2 linked regions of the Mus musculus genome follow. The protein of the gene in region 2 interacts with the protein of the main gene of each other region in a pairwise test. Links are inferred from orthologs where the notes say so. Each region holds a gene or a part of one and is shown on either strand. Other genes may lie near its edges.

Evidence for each region.
Region 1: the proteins of Ddx17 (region 2) and Wbp11 interact in a two-hybrid assay, tested with the Homo sapiens proteins (3 studies listed by BioGRID and IntAct). The link is inferred for Mus musculus from reciprocal best matches to the Homo sapiens genes DDX17 and WBP11.

What each region holds. Positions count from the first base shown.
Region 1 is NC_000072.6:136,811,181-136,820,572, forward strand, and holds the end of Wbp11 (WW domain-binding protein 11), read right to left. Parts: coding exon 9,327-9,392; intron 6,852-9,326; coding exon 6,750-6,851; intron 6,058-6,749; coding exon 5,764-6,057; intron 5,054-5,763; coding exon 4,871-5,053; intron 3,462-4,870; coding exon 3,028-3,461; 3' UTR 2,474-3,027; downstream 1-2,473. UniProt on the Homo sapiens protein: Activates pre-mRNA splicing. May inhibit PP1 phosphatase activity.
Region 2 is NC_000081.6:79,526,598-79,536,958, forward strand, and holds the end of Ddx17 (probable ATP-dependent RNA helicase DDX17), read right to left. Parts: intron 9,420-10,361; coding exon 9,360-9,419; coding exon of another isoform or gene 9,346-9,359; exon of another isoform or gene 6,378-9,345; intron 6,321-6,377; exon of another isoform or gene 5,382-6,320; coding exon of another isoform or gene 5,318-5,381; coding exon 5,081-5,317; coding exon of another isoform or gene 5,075-5,080; intron 3,921-5,074; coding exon 3,415-3,920; 3' UTR 1,099-3,414; downstream 1-1,098. Other genes in the region: Kdelr3 (ER lumen protein-retaining receptor 3), read left to right, coding at 475-515. UniProt on the Homo sapiens protein: As an RNA helicase, unwinds RNA and alters RNA structures through ATP binding and hydrolysis.

The sequences.
Region 1 (9,392 bases), on a different chromosome or scaffold from region 2:
GATTTAAAGGGCTAAAGTTTGATACATGAGCCTAGGCATTTTTTAGTCTGGCCTGAAGTCAGACGTTGGTAGATTTCCAGTGCTTGGTGTTATTTGCACGCTGACACTCCCCTGCAGAGGAAGACAGTTCAGTGGAACAGGGAGTCTGGGCAGGCTTTGTTTCCCTACAGAGCCAGTTTGGACTTTGGAGCCCAAAGAACTGGTCTGTTGAGTTTTGCATTTCTGGAAAGAAGGTTTAGCCCATGCCGTAGTTGGCACTGACTGGCATGCTAAATCCAAACTCCGCAAATCCATCCGAGGCAAGGCCAAATGCTAAGGCGATGTGCGTAAGCTTGACAGAACTGGTCTCGGATTCTGTCCTGATTACTTCTCCATTGCCGAAACACCATGACCAAGGCAACTTAAAACGAAAGCATTAGTCAGGGCTTGCTTACAGTGGCTGAGCCCATAACCAGCATGATGGGGAGCAGGGAGGAAGGCATGTTGAAGGCTCAGTGGCCAAGAGCTTACATCTATCCGATCCACAGAGTGGGCCTGGCATGGGCTTTTGAGGTTTCAAAACCCAGAGTGACAGACACACTTCCAGCAAGGTCACACCTAGTCCCCCTTCCCAGAACCATTTTTGCCGACCAGAGACCAAGGATTTTAAATATCTGAACCCATGAGAGCCATTGTCATTCAAACCATCAAAGGTTTAGAATGTTCCAGTCACTTGGTTTGGAAACACTATTAAATGGGTTTGTTTTCTGTGACTTGCAGGGAGGCAGGAAGGGTTAAGGGAAGTTGAGGGGGCTGACAAGACTCAGAAGGCCCTGTATAGGACTGGGGGAGATGGGGAGGCTTGGTGAGGTGGCCTTCACCTATACTGGTTTACCAACTTGACAACCTAGTGTCAAGGAAGTGTCTGGGAAGACGAATCCCAATTTAAAAAATGCCTCCATCGGATTAGCCTGCAGGGGCATTATCTCGATTAATGGTTGATGTGGAAGGGCAGGCCCAATCCACTGTGGATAGTGATGCTCCTTACTAGATCCTGGGAGGTCTATGGAGGGTAGCCGAAGGCCAGTAAGCAGCACCCCTCCATGGCTTCCGTTCCTATCTTCCCTTCAGGATGGACTTTGAGCTGCAGGACAAATCAACCCTTTCTTCTGCAAGTTGTTTTTGGCCTTGGTGTTTACCTCAGCAGTAGAGAGCCAACTAGGGTATCTCTCACCATGCTCTTAAGTAACGTCAACAATTCACAATTCATTGGCTCACCAAGATGGAAGTGGAGGGATCCTTTCTTTGGTCTGCTGTTTCTGGGCTGAATAGAATTTGCATCTCCAGGTAAAGTCAATGGGTTTTGAGGAGAGTCTGGTAATGCAAATGAGGACACTAAGTTTCCCATGTAGAAAGGTGAGCTGAATGTGAGCCTGTGAACCTGTGAGCCCTCTCTAATCCACATCCAAGCAAAGGTATGTAGTGGTCATGTAAGAAACCAAATCAGATTTGGTGGCCTTCCTCCTTTCCTACAGATGGAATTAATAGATTCAGTGTTAGGCTTTATGAATACAATTTTCAAATAAAACTAGCAGCACACTTGGAAATGTTTTGATAATCAAAAGCTTTTTCAGAGAACCAGTGACAGAAATCTCCCTCCAAAAGAACGTAACTCTTCAGTCAAGAATACTAAAAAAGAATCAACTCCGACCAAACTGGAGAGCAATTGTTTATGCAGAAATTACCATGCCAGCTGGATGATGTAATTGTTTCTTTTGTATGAAAAATGATCAAATTCATTGGACTTTACTTAATTACACTAAAACCCCAAACCAAATGGACAATTTTGTGTTTTGTAAGGATGACTTAATCTGTCAGAGTAACAGAAGCAGACATACAAAATCTCAAGGAGAACCTGAAATGCATGAGGACTAGGAAAGCATTAGCCTCAGCATCTTTCAACACATCTTTAATGCTCTAGGATTTGCATGAGATGCAGGCCAGCTAAGGTGTGCCTTGCATAACACAATGCACATGACTGTAGGAAATGCACGGCAGCAGGCACAGACCAGAACTGGAGAAGGAGTCTTTCCAACTCTCAAGGCCTGCCTCCAGGATGTACTTCTTCCAACAAAGCCAGGCTCTCAAGCTTCCCCAACAGTGCCACCAACTGGGGAAAACCACGTCCACGTATATGAGCCTTGGGAACTTTCACACACCACCACCCCCACAGCTCTGTGTCCTCTGGAGTCCCCCATCCTAGCAGTCAAAGTGGAGACATTGTGCACCCCTCTGACGTTCTGGGAAGTCAATATAATCTTGAAGGAATTCTTCCTCTTTATCCCTGTAGATTTCAAAGTTACCTTTTACATTCTAATAAAATCCATTCTCATTCTGCATGAGAAATGGCAGTTCCTGAGAACCAAACTACAAACTTGTTTGTTTCTGCCCACCAGCCAGATGAACTGTTTACACATTACACAAACACAGAAGGTATCTTGGTATGGAACATTTTATTTGTCCATGAAACACTCAAAAGAGTTTAGCTTGTGGGAAGTAACTTTAATCCCAGAATTGTATATTTTCTTCCCACATATCCTGTTTTGAATTAGGAAATGATACTGTAATCCATTTCACTACAAGGAAAATATTACAAAATATTTACAGGAAAATATTAAAAATAACTCAAACACAAAAGTCAAGATGAAATAAACTTTTTTCCTCCAGAATTCTCTACTCTAGTGCCCACGGCACATGAGTCAAAAACAAGTAACTAAGACCTCGCTGACAGAATTCCCAAAATGGAGAGAGGAAGAGAGGGAGGAGATGGTGATGTCACAGGGAGCAGGGGTTAGCAGCAGTGCTTCACATCCTGGTCTATTGTAAAGAAACACCTTGTGCAGGGATCCCAGCAGGCAAACATGAGGAGGCTCCTGGAACTGGACTTGGAAAACACCTGACAGTGGACATTGCTCTTCACTGTAATAAGAGCCTCTTGTTCCACAAACCAGTACTCTGAACAGAAGCCTGTCCTGGCAGGAGGCCCTGTCACAGCAGCCCTTCCATCTCTTTCATAAAGGCTTCATAAACATCGTCCTTAGTTTGTACTGAGACAGCAACTGAAGGACCAGATCTCGGGGCTGCTTTGGCAACAGGCACAGCAGAGTCATCCTCTGACCTTCTTTGGGGAACAGCAGTAGCCCCCTTATTCTCTCGGCGTACCCTCAGTGCAGTGGGCACAAACCGTGTGACCTCTGCCTTGGGATTGGTGATCTGGGGCTTGGCACTGATGGTCGCTGTGGCTTTCTTCTCGATGGTGGCGGCACTTGCATCATCCGCCTTCGGTCGCTGAATGAGGCTGGGTGGGGCACTCAACACCCCTGGGTTGGGCAAGGGAGCTGGTGGGAAAAGGCCAGGCGGGGCAGGTCCAAGAGGAGGAACCAAGGGTGGGCGCATCATGCCAGGACGAGGAGGAGGGATACCTAAAGGAAGAGGAGAGAGGATGAGTACAAGAATTGGCGACATTTAACTGCCACTAAGGATGTTTAGACATGGGCTACAGGGATGGCTCAGTGGTTAAGAGCACTGGCTGCTCTTCTGAAGGTTGATTCCCAGCAACCACGTGGTGACTCGCAACCATCTGTAATGGGACCTCTTCTGCTGTGTCAAGACAGTGACAGTGTACTCACATATACATAAAATAAATAAACAAATCTTTTAAAAAAAGGAAGTTTAGGGGGCTGGTGAGATGGCTCAGTGGGTAAGAGCACCCGACTGCTCTTCCGAAGGTCAGGAGTTCAAATCCTAGTAACCACATGGTGGCTCACAACCATCCGTAATGAGATCTGACTCCCTCTTCTGGAGGGTCTGAGGACAGACATCTACAGTGTACTTACAATAAATAAATAAATAAATAAATAAATAAATAAATAAATAAATAAATAAATAAATAAATAAATAAATCTTTAAAAAAAAAAAGGAAGTTTAGACATAGGCTAAGACTGCTTTTTAGGCAAGTTATTTACAGGAATTAAATTGAACTCACACAACCTGCTATGTGAAAGGCAGAAATATATTCTGATAGAAAGAAACATAATACTTTGAAGTTACATCTGCCTTTAGTCTTGATCCCTGAACTCAGGTCCCAGTTGAAAACTGTACCATCAAGCTGACAATGCCAACTGGTGGCAGATGCAGTTTCCAATCTGGAAGGTCCAGGATGCTATCCTATCCTGTCCTGGCTGTCTGGTGTGAAGTTATTAAGATCAAGGGGCAGTCGATTCCTGAGTACTAGTTAGTTTCTACCACGTTCACACAGGGGACAGGGAAGGATTCTGTCCTGCTCAGTCACTGGAAATGGGCAGACTATGGTCAGTCTTTTCAGGGTTACGTAATTCTGACAGCTGCAACTCATACATATCCCGCATCAGATTGTGGTTTCTTCAAATGCCACGTAAGAATCAAACCTGCATCCAGTCAGAACTGATTACGTAAACTCAGTTTTCCTACACAAAACCAAGACAAAGACAAAGCCCCAGCTGTTGTGTTTTAAAAGCAATCTTCGGACACAGTAGAACATTCAGTGTGCTTAGCCAAAAAATCCCATTATGACATTTGCAGGACTAACTCGGACAATGGGTAGAGAGGAGGGAGGCTCTCTTGTGATCTAACTTGAAGATGGTAATTGTGTAGAGCATGGGGCGCAGCTGTGCCTGTTCTCACACAGCTCAGACAGAGAACCTGCTCACTGTTGCCAGCCTCAAGGGATGAGTGGAAAGCAACGGAAAGGCTCGTGCAGAACACACTTTCCTGCAGACCCTCTGCTAGATGTCCTCAGAGACCCACCGAGCGTACAGCCATGCCTAGCTCTTGTCACACTGAAAAACTTTACCTGGAGGTGCAGGAGGAGGTAGCCTTGGTGGGGGTCCCCGAGGAGGGGGTCCAGGGGGCAGACCTGGAGGTGGGCCTGGGGGAGGGCCAGGAGGTCGGCCTGGTGGTGGTCCTGGAGGTAAAAGTCGTGGTAAAGGCCCTCGGATTCCTGGCATTCCAGGTGGTCTCAGGAATGGAGGAGCCCCTGAAAGAAGAAAACCAATGTCAGTCAGATAAATATTTGTGGTATAAAAGCGACTCACATAATCATTTTATTCAGAAGTGAGATGGCATTTAAATAAAAAGCAATGGAAATAAAACTCATTCAACATATATTTGAGCTCTATAAAAAGGCCATCAGGTCCGTTATAGTTCGGTCCATCTGGTCCTTCTAGGTCCCAGCTGTGGTACGTGAGACTGTATTAAGCAACACCAATGCAGGGCTGGGCTAGTCTGTCACAATAAAGTACTAAACAAAGTACAACTATGCACAAGTGTCCAGCTTACAAAACCAGAAATAAGAGATCCTTAAGAAGAGGCGACTGTAAGAACTCCGAGCTGCTAACGATGCTCACAGACTGGAAGGGTCTTCCTTCCCTTGGAAGCCTCAACCGAAAGCCTCAGTGCTGACTGACGACACACATTGTTCTGAAGGATCCCTCACCCCGGCTCAGAGCACGCGCTCCTCGCCCCCCTCACCCCGGCTCAGAGCACGCGCTCCTCGCCCCCCTCACCCTGGCTCAGAGCTCGCGCTCCTCGCCCCCCTCACTCCGGCTCAGAGCACGCGCTCCTCGCCCCCCTCACCCTGGCTCAGAGCACGCGCTCCTCGCCCCCCTCACCCCGGCTCAGAGCACGCGCTCCTCGCCCCCCTCACTCCGGCTCAGAGCTCGCGCTCCTCGCCCTGGGGGTGCTTACCTGGAGGCGGCCCAGGAGGAAGGCCTGTAGGTGGTCCAGGAGGCCGTAAGGGTGGGGCAGGTGGTGGTCCAAGAGGTGGTGGTCCTGGCATGGGAGGGGCTTGTATCTGAGAAGCAGGAGCAGACTGTGGAGGAGCCTGCTGCTGGGAAGAGGCTGCAGCCGTGCTGTCAGAGTGGCCATCGTCTTTATGCTGCTTCTGCGACTGCTTCTCGGCTTCAGAATCATCCGAGTCGTCGGCATCCTCCTCCTCTGAAAATTCCTCCACTTCCCGTCCTTCCTCAGGGATTTCCTGACCTGAAAAATGGAAAAATAGCTGATTTCTGTTTTACCGCTTGGAGAACAGCAGTGGCCAAGAGTACACCACAGCTGGGTGTGGTGGCACATGCCTTTAATCCAGCACTTGGGACAAGTGCAAGATGACCTGACTTCACAGTCGGCTTAGTCTACATAGTAAGTTCCAGGACAGCAGGGTTACACAGGTAGACCCTGTCTCCCAAAACCAAATAAATAAATAAGTAAATAAAAATAAGAAAATTTATTCTTAAAAAATCAACAATCCAAGTCTTTTTACCGACTATTGAAATACACAACGGTGCATCTTTAACTAGTACAGCAGTATAAATCCCAGGCTGTCAGACAAGACAGACTTGGAATTAAATAGCACTCAGGGCTGCAAGAGGGCTTGCTAATGAGCCTGACAACCAGAGCTCAATTCCTGAGACCCAGCAGCAGCCACAGAAAAGCTGACTCCCACAGGCTCCATATGCCAGCTCAAGAGCAGATGCTGCACAGCCTCCCAGAACGAGTTGTCTCAGCGGCTCACTAGCCCCAAAACTCTGGGCACCCCACCAAATGGCTCCATATCTTAAGTTTCACAGAATACAGATTCCTGGCTTATTTCAGAGCTGCTGACTATAAATGGAAGACTATATGCTAAGCAAGTGGCACAAGGAAATGCTAGAGATCCATTCCTTCTTGCTTCTAACCTGCCATTCGCAGCATCATGGCTTGAAGAGGAGTCAGCTCCTTCATGTTTTTCTTCTTCTTCCTTGATTTCCCAGGCATATCAGCAAATCTGACGCTTAGACCTAAACAGTCAAGAAAGGATGAAACGGGAAAGAATCATCAAATGTTGTAAAAATGGTCACCATAGAGCAGACGCTGTAAGTACTATGAATGACTGTAACCCATTACACGATACAAGGCAGATGTACAGGGACATTACAGGAAATCAGCGTTGTGCTAATTGGTTGCTTATGAAATATACTGCATTAACTTAAAACTTAATGTTCAGAAAATGTTAGGATACTTAAGAAGTATATAAACTGAATTAGATAATTCAATTTTAAGCCCTAAACATAAAAGCTGAAACGGTAAAGATGTATCTTAAAGCAACAATTTTCTTTAGCAATTCAGCAAAACAGTAAGTCACAGAAAAGATGAAAGCTGACCAACTCAGGAAACCAGCATACCCTATTAACCAACATAAAATATAACACAACTGAGTCTGACAGTGCTGGGTAAGGAAAATCGATCATAGCATGCAGGGTGCACCAAAAGTACCCAATGGTTTACACTAGAAAATTAGTAATCTAATCATGACAAAAGGCCCCATAAAAGGTGGGAAAATCTTAGTAATACTCTAACAGGTGATTAAAGATTATGATCGGTCCCCAACACCACTTCCACTACAGAATCTTTCAGTAACCCTGACAGATACTGCACTTCTGATCTGGTGTCTGACATCTTAGCCAACACTTAAGGAAGGGAATATTTATTTCTATGTGGGTTCAGCTTTAGTGTATCTTGGACTTTTACTGCCCAGAAAAATGCCTGGCTATGGTAAAGGCAGTAGCAGATGAGAGGACGTGCAGCTGGGCCAGCCATCTGAGGTCCACACACACTGGGGAACACAACGTTCAGTAGGAAGCAGCAGGTGGACTTCAGTCAGTTCAAGGCCAGTCAGTAAGTCCTGTGCTAGCCAAGGCTACACAGAAGACCCTGTCCCAGCGCCACCCCCCAGGACCTCAGCAGCAGCTGGCAGCCGCAGAGTAGAGAGAGGATGCAGTCTTACAGGGGAGTCCTGCACTTGGAGTTCTACCCCACTCTCCTTTCTAAGACCAGTTCCAACTTATGAGTCTTCTATAATTTTCCAAGATCAGGCTTGCTCCTACACCAATTTATGATAGTTTTTTGATAAGCTTTTCTTTCATTCGTAATCATGATTAAGGAGCACTAATGCATTCCAGAGGGCTCTGGACAACCCAGCTCTGAGGGATCTAGTGCCGTGTAGTCTCCAAGGCACACGCAAGTGTAGGAGGCACACAGACACACACAATTAAAAAAAAAAGAGAGTCACTTGCTGATCTTATAAATAAAACCACAGTATACAGATGCCGTCCTGGAGACTACAGCTACAGCCCCTAAGAAGCTCCCCGGCTACTAGGCTCTGACACACTCAGTGTGTGCTTGGCACTGCTTAGTACCCAAACACAGTGCTTAAAATTTTTGTGACAAAACGTAACATACAGTGTGCACACAATTGAGGACACAGCAGAACTGAATATATTTAATATACATCAAGTCTTAGGCTTACTCCCCAGCACTACACACACACACACACACACACACACACACATCTTTCTGAACGGTGCTTCACAGCTGACCCTTGGAGAACGGTTTGTTTACATGCAGGCCAAGTGCGCTACACAGGTGCTTTCCCAACCAGTGACCAGCTTTGAAGGAACAGGCGTATGGTTCTAAATACAAATACAGTGCAGACATATAGAAAAATACACTTTTATACATATACATAGTATATAATTATACATGTTAATGTAATGTGTGTATAGACACATATATGTATATAAAATATTTAATATATAATATACACACACATATATTATATATAAAATTACAAGTATATATGAATTACAAAGGTCACCCAGTTTATGAAAGGCCCCATGAAGAACAGAAAACCCAGCTCCCAGTGTAGACACGCACACAAGCTTATTTAAAACCATGCATGTTCTTCCTTTCCTACTGCACGTTCATCATAGAGTATATTAGCAATTTTTGCCTCAAAGTGGAATTTCTTGCATAACTTTTAAAAAACTACATATACTTACTCTTTCCTCACAAACACCTGTAAGAATAATATGTCAAAACCTTTCAAACTATCAAGACAAATAAATGGCCAGGTACGGTGGCTTATATTTATTTCTAACTCCACAACTTGGGAGGCTGAAGCAGGAGGGTCACCATGAGCTCGAGGCCAGCCTAATTAACAGTGATAGACACCCGTCTCAAAACCAAGCCAAACCAAACTGGAGCTAAAAGCTGGTCCTGAACTGGTGAGCTGGCTCACCAAACCTAATCACCCAAGCTGCATCCCCACCCCCTGTGCAGTGGATCGGGAAAACCAACTGGGACTGCCACATAGATGCTCTAGCACGCATGTACACTCGGGCGCGCACACACTGAACCTAATTAACAAAAGCCAGGGCTTTCAGCACCGGGGTCAGCGGTGTTCATCTACGCCCGGCACATTAACCCGCACACACCTGACTTCTTCTCCTCAGTGTTGTCGCGCTCACTGTCCTCGCGGTGCCCGAACTCATCCCCGTCAC
Region 2 (10,361 bases):
CAATAGCAATCAGCAACGTGCACAGACAGGAAAACTGAGGACTTCTGACAAACTTGGTTGGGAAAACCTCAATCTCCAAAAGCCCCGAAGCAGCTGTTAGCAGTAGTAGACCTTGAAACGCAAGGAAACTAAGTTCACACAGAACCCCAGGGATCTAGGTTATGGGGTTTGTTATTGTGTCACCATGCCCAGCAGCCACCATGCAGAGACTAATCAGGGCAGTTTAAAAACAGGGTTGGGATGGATAGACACAGGCTATGGGAATGGAGTAGACATACTCATCTAAAATGATGTAAGAACACCAGTAACCAAAGTGGGGGGAAACAGCATAAACCCCACGGGTGACCCGCAACAAGTAACAAGGGAGGCAAAGGCAGGCGATCTCCAGTTCAAGGCCAGCTAAAGTGGAGGGAGGGGGGCAGGAATTCTTCTTTAAGTACAACACATAGTAAAATTTTATCTTTTTTTCCTTAGTCCTTAAAGGAAAGAAATTAAGCCTCCCGGTGCCAGTTTGAAGAGAAGGGCCACCCCTATGGCAGCTAAAGCAAACCATCCGGATCACTGCTTCATGACTTCAAGCCAAGACTTGGGACTTCATGTTAGAGTGACTGGTGTGAATTTGAGCAAAGCACCATCTTGGGATAAACGGCAGCACCTCCCTAATCCACCATGGATAGAATGGGATACCTAGCCCATCTGCCCAAGGATGGTGCCCTACAAGTGCCAAGTGAAGAGAAGCAGTAGATACCTCCGTGAGTGGCTCAACTCCTTGCTTCCTTAGGACTATACAACTCATGCCCAGGGCTGGGAAGATCCATTCAGAGAACCTCCCTAGGTCAGCGTGCTGAACTCGAGCCACATGTCCACCTGGCCTGCAAGCTGTAAGCAGTCCAAATAACCAGCTCTGCCAAGTGCTTAGGACTGCTTAGCTCACTTGTTAGCTGAGATGGACACCATGGCCACTGTGTAAATCCATTCTGTGCTAAGAACCACCAATGTAGCCTTCCCCTCCCAGCCTGAGGTGCTAAATAGAATGCCTAATACACTCACCCTGCTTAATGTTTTCACTGCTTGGAGGAAAACATTAAGAGTACACTTAAACTCTTTTTAAGTTTTAATGTAATAAAAAATTCACACCTTTATTGTCAAGTATTTATTTATACCTACAAAAGAAAACAAGATGGTATCAAAAGGACAATTTACAAACTAAGAATAGTAGTAACATAGCTCTGAGCATCCTGTGCATAACATCACACCTACAATTCAAGTCTCAATGACAGGAATGTGTGGAGAGACCAGCAAGGGCGTTAGCAGAGCACTGATCCCAAGCAAAAGCCACCAACCTTTTTAGATGAGAAGTCTGCACAATGGATGGTTAGGGAGAAGCAGCCCACAGCCTAACACCTAAGCCCTTTCCCTAAGTGAGTAAACCATAAACGGCAATTAACCCAGCTGGAAGGGTTTGCCTGCACCTGTGCTGACAAAGGACAGACAAGGAGGCACAAGTCACTTGCGCCAAGTAGGAAAACTGCTAGTTTTCTGCTGTACCCAGGCCAAAAGAGCTTATGAAATATGACATCTGCTACTTATCTGGATTATGCCTCTGCTGGAGAGGGGAGGTTAAGCAACCTAGCTACTGCTTCATCCCCGGAGGCAGTAATAGAAGGGGTGTTTTTGAAGAGTGACAGGAGCACAGGACAGCCCATGGTATAATGCTTAATAAAAAATAAATCTGAATTTGGTTGTAGAAAGTATCTGTAACAGGCTGGTCAGCATCAGTGATTAGACACTTGCTTTTGGCAGGGTGAGAGACAGACAAGACAGGACACACTTTGGTTTCAGAGCACAGAGCAGGGTTGCCACACATCTGTGCCTACCATCCCCCCTCAGCTTCATAGTCTGTAAAACGGTAAGGAAAACAGAAGAATGCCAAGCATGCTGACAACCTACCTGTTATGTTACACACTGAATCCTATTTTCTGAGCCCCTCAAAACCATCCCTTTCTCTTCCTGAAAGAAACCTCAAAATTGACTGTTACCGTACAAAGGAGCAGGCACCCTCAGGGCACAGCCAAAGAATGCAGTGGAGCCTCCTCCCTGGAATGAATTTGAGCGGCCCAGGTAACAGCCACACACTAGCCCCACCACTACCATCTACTAGAGGCGCTGGGGCATCTGCTCTCCTGTCCTGTTTAGGTGATAAGAGCAGAATTTTCTTTCCAACTTCATCTGCTGCTCTTCCAAGTTCCAGGAGCATTTAATAAAGGGGTGAGACGAGCTCACCCCTACCTTCACACTCCAGAGAGTAAGGAGAGCCTGGGCTTCAGCCCTCCATGGCTACTACCTACCTGTGAAAAACTGAGGGCAAAGGAAAGCCCAGAACAAGTGCCTCCAGCTGTTAGAAAGCACCTCAGAGACCAGGCTTTGAGGAGGCAAGCTCTTTAGCAGTCCTGCTCAGGAGAGCCTGACCAAGTGGGCAGAGCAGCCCATGAGGTCAATCCTACTCTAAGAATACTGTTTAAGAGGAAGATCCGCCCACTCCCTTGCAGTCCATCATTCCCAAAGGTGCTTTCTAAATGCTGCTCGGAAGGCTCTGCTGAGCGCTGATGCTTACCGCTCAGTGGCTGATCTGGCTAGAAAATGACTTTCAGATGGCCCCTGGTTATGTGGGGATAAAAATCCCAGGCAGCCTCTACCCAGATGCCAGTCTACCTAGTAAAAACAACCCTTTATAGTTTTTTAAACTTAAAAAGACAACGCTTGAACTCAGAAATGTAATTTCTAACTCAACACTAACCTGGTTAATATTTAATAACTGCAGGAACAAGTGGGGAGGGGGCATGATGACAGAATCGATTAGGAATTTTTAACTGTTGAATGCACATAAGAAGCCATCAGCCAAATGACCAACAAAGCAGTCTTAAAAATTCATCAGGCCTGAGTAATCGAACTTCAGTAACTTAAACCCACCATGGGCAGTGTGCATGGAAATCCCTCTTGGCTCCTCCCTAAGGAGAGCAGTCTAAAGAACAGATACCACTTCCTGCAGAGCAGTCCCTCCTTCCCTACCCACCCTCCCATGGATAAACAGGCTCCAACAAAAGTGCCTAATACCTTTAAGATGAAAAATAGCTCAATATCCTCAACATGCATTAAGCTGGGGGAAAGAAATTAATTCTTTCCAGTCAGTTATGTGTATATATATTTTTTCTTACAAAATCTGTAATTATAGACTGGATCTTTTGGGTGGGCAGAAGAAACCTGGCAGTGAAATTTTAACTATCTGCATTAAAAAAAGATAAACCGTAATGGTTGAGAAAAGAAAAAATAAAAATGAAAAGGTCTAGAAGGGTAAAAGACAGTGTTCCTTTAGATGTGTAATTCATCTGCACGAGTCACTCCTGCCATGCAGTTTCATTTGCGAGATGGAGGAGGGGGAGGGGGAGGGGGAGGGTACTGGTAAGCAGTCTGCCCCATGTAGCCTATCATATTGGTAGCTCCTGGAGGCTGTGCAAACTGCTGTGACATCAGTGGCTGTGGCTGCTGCCCAGATCGGCCTATCCCACTAAACTGCTGGCTGGAGCTCTGAGAGCTCCTCCCTGCTGAGGCAGTGCTGCTCGCCCCGTAAGTGCCAGCAGCATACTCCTGCGCCGTGTAGCCACTGGTGCCATAGGCAGCTGCCCCATAGGTGCCTTGAGCATAGGTGTATTGGCCTGCTTGTGCCCCAAAGGCAGAATTTGGGCTTCCATAGCCACTGCCATTAGCATAACTGGCTCTATCGGTTTCACTACGATCCCTGTAGCTTGTAGAATCTCTCCGGCCACCATCCTTGACCCCTCGAAGCCTCCGGTCACACTCGTCCTGATACATCAGATTGGGATTGTTGGCTGAAGAAGTAGTCCGGTATCGTGAGCGGCCTCCTAGTGGGAAGAAAATGCCGAGTATGTGATCCCAACAAACTGAACATAAAGGGGCACAGAAATACTCAACACATGTTCTTCATCTGTAACGCTAGTCTCTAAGTTAATACTTCACTCAACTTGGTGCCTTTTAGAGTCTTCTTGATAACAAAACCAAACTTAACCTGAGTGTACCACACAGCTGTAGATCAACTGTATGCCTCGGTTAATACTATGCTATGAAATGAGGTAAAATTACCAAATTCTCCAAAGGTATCAAGAAGGAAAAACAGTTTAGCTATCTATGTTAAAATTTTAAGAGACAGGGTCTAGCTATGAAGCTCAAGCTGTCCCAAAAAGATAACATACCTAGCTTTACCTCCATGTGTTAAGAAACATAGGCTTGGGGCTGGAGAAATGGCTCAGTAAAGCACTGACTGAGCTGACTGACTCTAGAGGGCCTGAGTTCAATTCCCAACCATCTGTAATGGGATCCAATGTCCTCTTCTGGCATGCAAGTAGATACTCATATACATAAAACAAGCAAATAAATAAAAGAAACAAACCCGCCAGGCGGTGGTGGTGCGTGCCTTTAATCTCAGCACTCAGGAGACAGAGGCGGGCGGATCTCTGAATTCGAGGCCAGTCTGGTCTACAAAGTGAGTTCCAGGACAGCCAGGGCTATACAGAAAAACCCTGTCTTGAAAAAACAAAACCCAAGCTTGGCTGGACAGCGACAGCTTTGTTAGGTTGATTTCTGAGTTTGAGAACAGCCTGGTCTACAAAGTGAGCTCCAGAACAGCCAGGGCTACACAGAGAAACCCTGTCTTAAAGAATAAAAACCAAACTAAAAGATTCACAGGCATGTACTACTAGTTTAATTTTGGACATGTACCATGTAACCCCAAATTTAAATAAATAATGGGTCTTAAATCCTCAACTACAAGAACACTGGGTTCTAACAGTAACACAATGACCAGACTTACTTTTTCACTTAAAATGAGATTATTCAAAGCCACAAATTTCTTTCCAACTCCAAACAAGAGCCTTGTCATCCAAACAAAACAAACAAAAAGGAAAACTAAAAACTCACCAACAAAGAAAAACCAGCAGAAAAAAATGGCACAATTAGTGTTACAAGTCCTTGGCAGTACCTGGAAAATTCCAGGACTTACCCTTACCCCCTCCTCCGCCGCCACCTCTGTGGTCCACAAGCTGCATCAATTTTGGATTGATGGCTTGATTGGCCTCTTCCAATACTTTGATCAGCTCTCTAGCCTGCTTCAGGTTGCCCGGGGTAAAGAAAGTATAGGCAGTGCCCTTGTTGGTGCTGCGGGCCGTTCGGCCAATACGGTGAACATAATCCTCTGAGCTGTTTGGATAATCGTAGTTGATGACAAACTTGACATCTTCCACATCTTCCACGTCAATGAGGAGACATTGTGTAGGTTGATGTGGCAGAGAAAGAGAAGGTAAAGACATGCCAAGAGGTGGAGAGCACGAATGCAGATGACAGCAAGAGGGGAGAAGATGAAGTTAGTAACTGCCCTGAGTAGGTACAAAAAAAAGACTCATCCCAACAGAGTAAAAGAGGATCAGTGCCACTCAGGACACAGGCAGGCCCTGCATCTTGGTTTGTGATTACCCTATGGGAGCTCCCTCCAATACCCCAAACTCCTGCCTCTTCTGTAATGATATGCTGACAGGAGCTACACTGAGACCAGAGTTCAGAATGACAAAATCTAGTGCCACCCCCTTTCGAAGCTAGAATGTAGAAGAACTTAGTAACCACCATTAAAGTGCAGGGCCAAATCACTTTTACTCTGTTGGGAGAAGCCTGGCACAGTCTACCAACAATACAACCAACTTACCTTCAGACCAGTCACAGAGCAGCACGGAAAGGCACTTCATCTACTCACTACATCCTCAGACTCAACAGTTAGATTCTGTCTTGCTCTTGTATTTAAAAAGCAAACCAAAGCCAAAATACACACCTATTTTGCTTTGTGTAAACACCCAGATTACCTTTCCCTTTTCAATCACAAGAACACATTACACTAAAATTTCACTCTACTGCCAAGCCCAGCTTCTCAAATGAGGTTTTTTTCCACTCAACTCAAGGTTATTGGAAACTTAGTACTTGTATCAACAATCAGATTGTCTATGTGACCTGAAGATTCAATAGCCAAAGACTGTGGGGAAAACCATGAAACCTTGAGACACACATATAATATTCTGTACATGGCTAGGAGTTGGGCTGAGTAACCCCTAAAACTTACAAGTATGCAAATGTTAGTGTAATGCTTTCAGCTAAATGTAGTTTTTTTTTTTAACCTACTTAACAAGCAAATTTAGTAACAGAATCCTAATTTTTGGTGGAAAAAAATCTGCATTTTACAAAGAATATTCCGAAAATATCCTAGATAAAACACAGATTTCTGTGATAGAAATAATTAAAAAACATTCTCTGTTTGTTACCAGACCGATGCACACTCCCTCCTCCTTTGGGAAACCGCTGCAGCCGATCCCGTCTCTTTGCCTTTTATATTTGGCGGCCTCCTTTCGAAAACTCCGCCTTCTGACACGGGACCACTGGAGCGCGGGGAGCATGCATCAAGGGTCCGTGGCAGTGAGAAGTCCCCACACACGCTCGCTCTGTGAACTGGCTTAGATGCTTCTCTGTAGCCCCATTTGGTTGCCAAGCGCCGGAGAACCTGGGTTCAGGTAAAAATTTCAGGTCCTCCAACGCCTCCCCAAGGTAATTGGGGTGATTGTAGAAAAATTAAAAAAAAAAAAGTTACATCCAAAGGGTCAGACTGCATCTATTGCCCAGACTGGATTAATTTCAGGGGTAAGGGGGAGATGATTTTTAAAAAAATTCAGCTGTTGTTAGGGGCATGTGAAGTAGGGGCATTATGTCTGTTTCTTATTACGATAAAGGCTCCTCAGTCTTTACTGACCCCTAAAGTCCTGAATCACACCAGAAAGACGAGAAGGCACTTATCACAGGGGGCAGCTTGAGTCTCCGGCTTGGGTCGTTGATGCCACAAGAAAAAAATATAACGGGGCAAGGATGGAAGGGTGAGGCGGGGCGGGGCGGGGGTTAACTCCATGAGCACTTCTTCAAGCTTCACTAATGCTCCGCAGTCACTCGCACTGAGTGGCCATGGACACAGAGCACGCTGAGTTACTGCACTGGATGCACGGAAGCGTGCTTTCCAAGCAGCAAGCACTGGGGCTTCAGAGGCTAACAGCTGGGAGTACTTCTGGAGGGGCTCGATAAGGGGTGGACACGGTGCAAAAGTTCTTCATGCTAGAAGGGTGTCCTGTGTGTGCACAGCTGACTGAAGGCCACCTAAGAGCAAGCCTAGAATCGGGTTTCTCCAGCCCAGGCTGCCCTGAGGTTACTGGTGCACTGCCACAATATTATCTTGCTGTCTTTATAGACGATGCTGTAGCAGGGTAAGAAATGCAAAGTTATATGTTTGGCCCCTGGCCTGGGAGAACATGTGGTTTGGAAAGCCCTATGCCATGGCCTGAAACTCCACTCACTAACTGGGAGAGTCAGCAGGCTCATCTAGAGTGGCTTCGGGCCAATGGAGATTTGCCTCAGCCATGTACTGAGTGATCTGCAGTTGATATCAAAGCTTCTGTTAAAAAACAAAATGAAATAAATTCAATACTTTTAGTTCAACAGTGTGTAGTTTAAACAAAAAAAGAAAAAAAAAGAAAAAGAAAAAAAAGAAAAAAGCAAAATAAAAAATATCCCAGTGGAAAGGGAACAGTGGTCACCTCAAGATGACTATTAGGAACTATGGGAGTCAAAGAACTTACCTGAAGGGATCATTTAAGAGACCATCGCTCCACAGAAGTGAAAAAAGGCCTGGTGACTCAGCTGAAAATAGCACCCCTGTCTGAGGTAGAAGCCTTCACTTTCCAGGATCTTGGAGGACCTTGGTCAGAATTCTGCCATTTGTGGTGGGTTTTCTCCCTCCTTTTGATTTTTACAAGGCAGCAAACAAAGGGGCCCAAAACAAGCACTGATGTTGAGTAACAAGAAACAGACTCAGGCACCTTCCCTCTCCCTCACTTGAATGAGGGAGGGTGGGATGAAGAGTCTAAGTTATTCTAATGGTAGCCAATTGATTTTAAAATATGCAAAAGGACAGAACAAATTTTTAATTGTCTAGGCAAGATGCACAAAGAAGCTACCAGCACATAGCAAGCCTGTTTTAAAAACCACCATTACTGAAAGCTTTTTATGTAAATTGCTTTCAGGCTTCTGCCTCCTCTCCCAGGCCCCGGTTCTAAGGGCACAGACCCAGAGATGACCTCGGAAGGAAGAGACAACTTCCCACCATGGCTGCAGGTCACTCACTACCTCAAGGAGGAGTAAAATTGAATGGATAAAAAGGCTCCATCACTGCTGAACTCATTTCAATACTTATCATCTCTATGTTAAATTGCACAGGGAAACTTGGTACTTCTCACCTTACTCAGCAGGAAATTAAACACATCAATAATGGTTCCCTCCCAACAGAAATCACCCCAGCTCTCTAAAACAAGACCCTGCTATTTAACGTAGGTTGCCCTCAAACAAATGAATCTCTTGCCTAAGGTTTCCAAGTGCTGGAATTTACAGGCATATACTACCATGCCTAGCTGTAAGAAATCTTTTTCTGGAGACAGAGCCTAGCAGTGTAGCCCTGGCTGGTCTACAACTCACTATGCATACCAGGTTTGCCTCAAACTAAGGAAACCATGCCTCTGTCTCCCAAGTGTGGGGATCAAAGGTGTGTATTACCACACCCAGATAATCCTTATACATGTAAACATTCTGGGTCAGCGTGTCATAGGCTGGCTATCTGTATGTATTTTAAAGCAGGAGTTGAAAACTTCAGATTATCTTCAGATCAAGTTCTAAACCGGAAAACATGTCTAAGGCCAAACAACGGGTAAAGGGAGGGATAACTGACAATCATATTACTGAAGTAATACTGGGCAATGCAGACTGAATAGAATGACATTATATAGAGAGCAATCAAAACCCCTGAGTGAATGTTCATGAAGTGGTCTCCCTGTTTCTATAGTAAACAGACTAGTATAAGGGAAAACTAAAGAAACCAGCTTCTGATGGCTAGGTCTAATTAGGCTCCTTCTATCCAGCCATAAAACTGTAATTTAATAGTCATGTCTAAGCCTTGTTACAGACCAAAGACTGCTAGGAGCCAGACGGAACTTTGAAAATAAACGGGGTGGGAACCACAGAAAACCCAAAATAATAATAAAACCCCCATGAAGGTTAAAAGAAAGTTGCAGGGAGGGAAAAAAAAAAAATCACACTTATACCCTCTTTTAACTAGACTCATGTACATACAATTGCAAATCTGACATGACAAAAAAAATTTTTTAAACCAAAAGATAAACAAAGCACTGATAGAGACACCTATCTATACAAACCTAGCCCACGGGAGGCTACATCCGTGGCAATGAGGATAGGAGCCTTTCCAGATCGGAACTCTGGAAGAAAAACAGAAAGGTGCCAAGTTAGGGAACTGAGGCTAAAAAACATCTGTGAATGACAATGACCAAAGGAAAATGACCTCCCCAGCCACACCTCTCAGAACATTGGCTTTGTACCTTGAAATATCATATACCACACCCATTTTAATCAAAGAAAAGTATTTTAAGCATTTTTTAAAAACTTTGCAGCTGGGCAGTGAATGGTGGTGCACGCCTTTAATCCCAGCACTTGGGAGGCAGAGGCAGGCATTTTTCTGAGTTCGAGACCAGCCTGGTCTACAGAGTTAGTTCCAGGACAGCCAGGGCTACACAGAGAAACCCTGTTTCTGGGGTGGGGTGGGGGGGAAGACTGTGCCGCATAAACAAATAAATGGCAGCTTAATGTTTCCGTGTGTCTGTGCCATAGACCCCCCTTGGAGGTAGGATGACAGGTGCTGTAAGCCACCAGCATGGGTGATGGGGCCTTCAAGGAGCAGGTCATGCTCTTATGGCGGAGCCATCTCCACAGCTCCTGTCATCTGAAGAGACTTATTTTTATTTATATTATGGACTTTCAAGAACTCTGGAGATGTATTGAAAATATCTAGAGTTCAATTAACTAGAACGAGGCTGAGTGAAATTTGGTCTACAAATAAAATCTAGTACAATACTTATTTTTGCAAATAAAACTGTTGTTGGAGATGCACCCAGGTCATATCTACAATACCGTCTATGAGCACTTGTTTTTGTAGAAACCATTCCCAAACTAATCTAATTATCTGGTCCTTTATAAATTGGTTGGGGGGAGGCACACATGCAGTGGCTAAGATGACAGTTGTCAAAAGCCTTTATTGTGTTAGGCATAGAAGCACATACTTTTATTCCCAGATAACACCCGGGAGGCAGAGGTAGGTGGATTTCTTTGAGTTCAAGGCCTGCCTGATCCACACAGTGAAATCC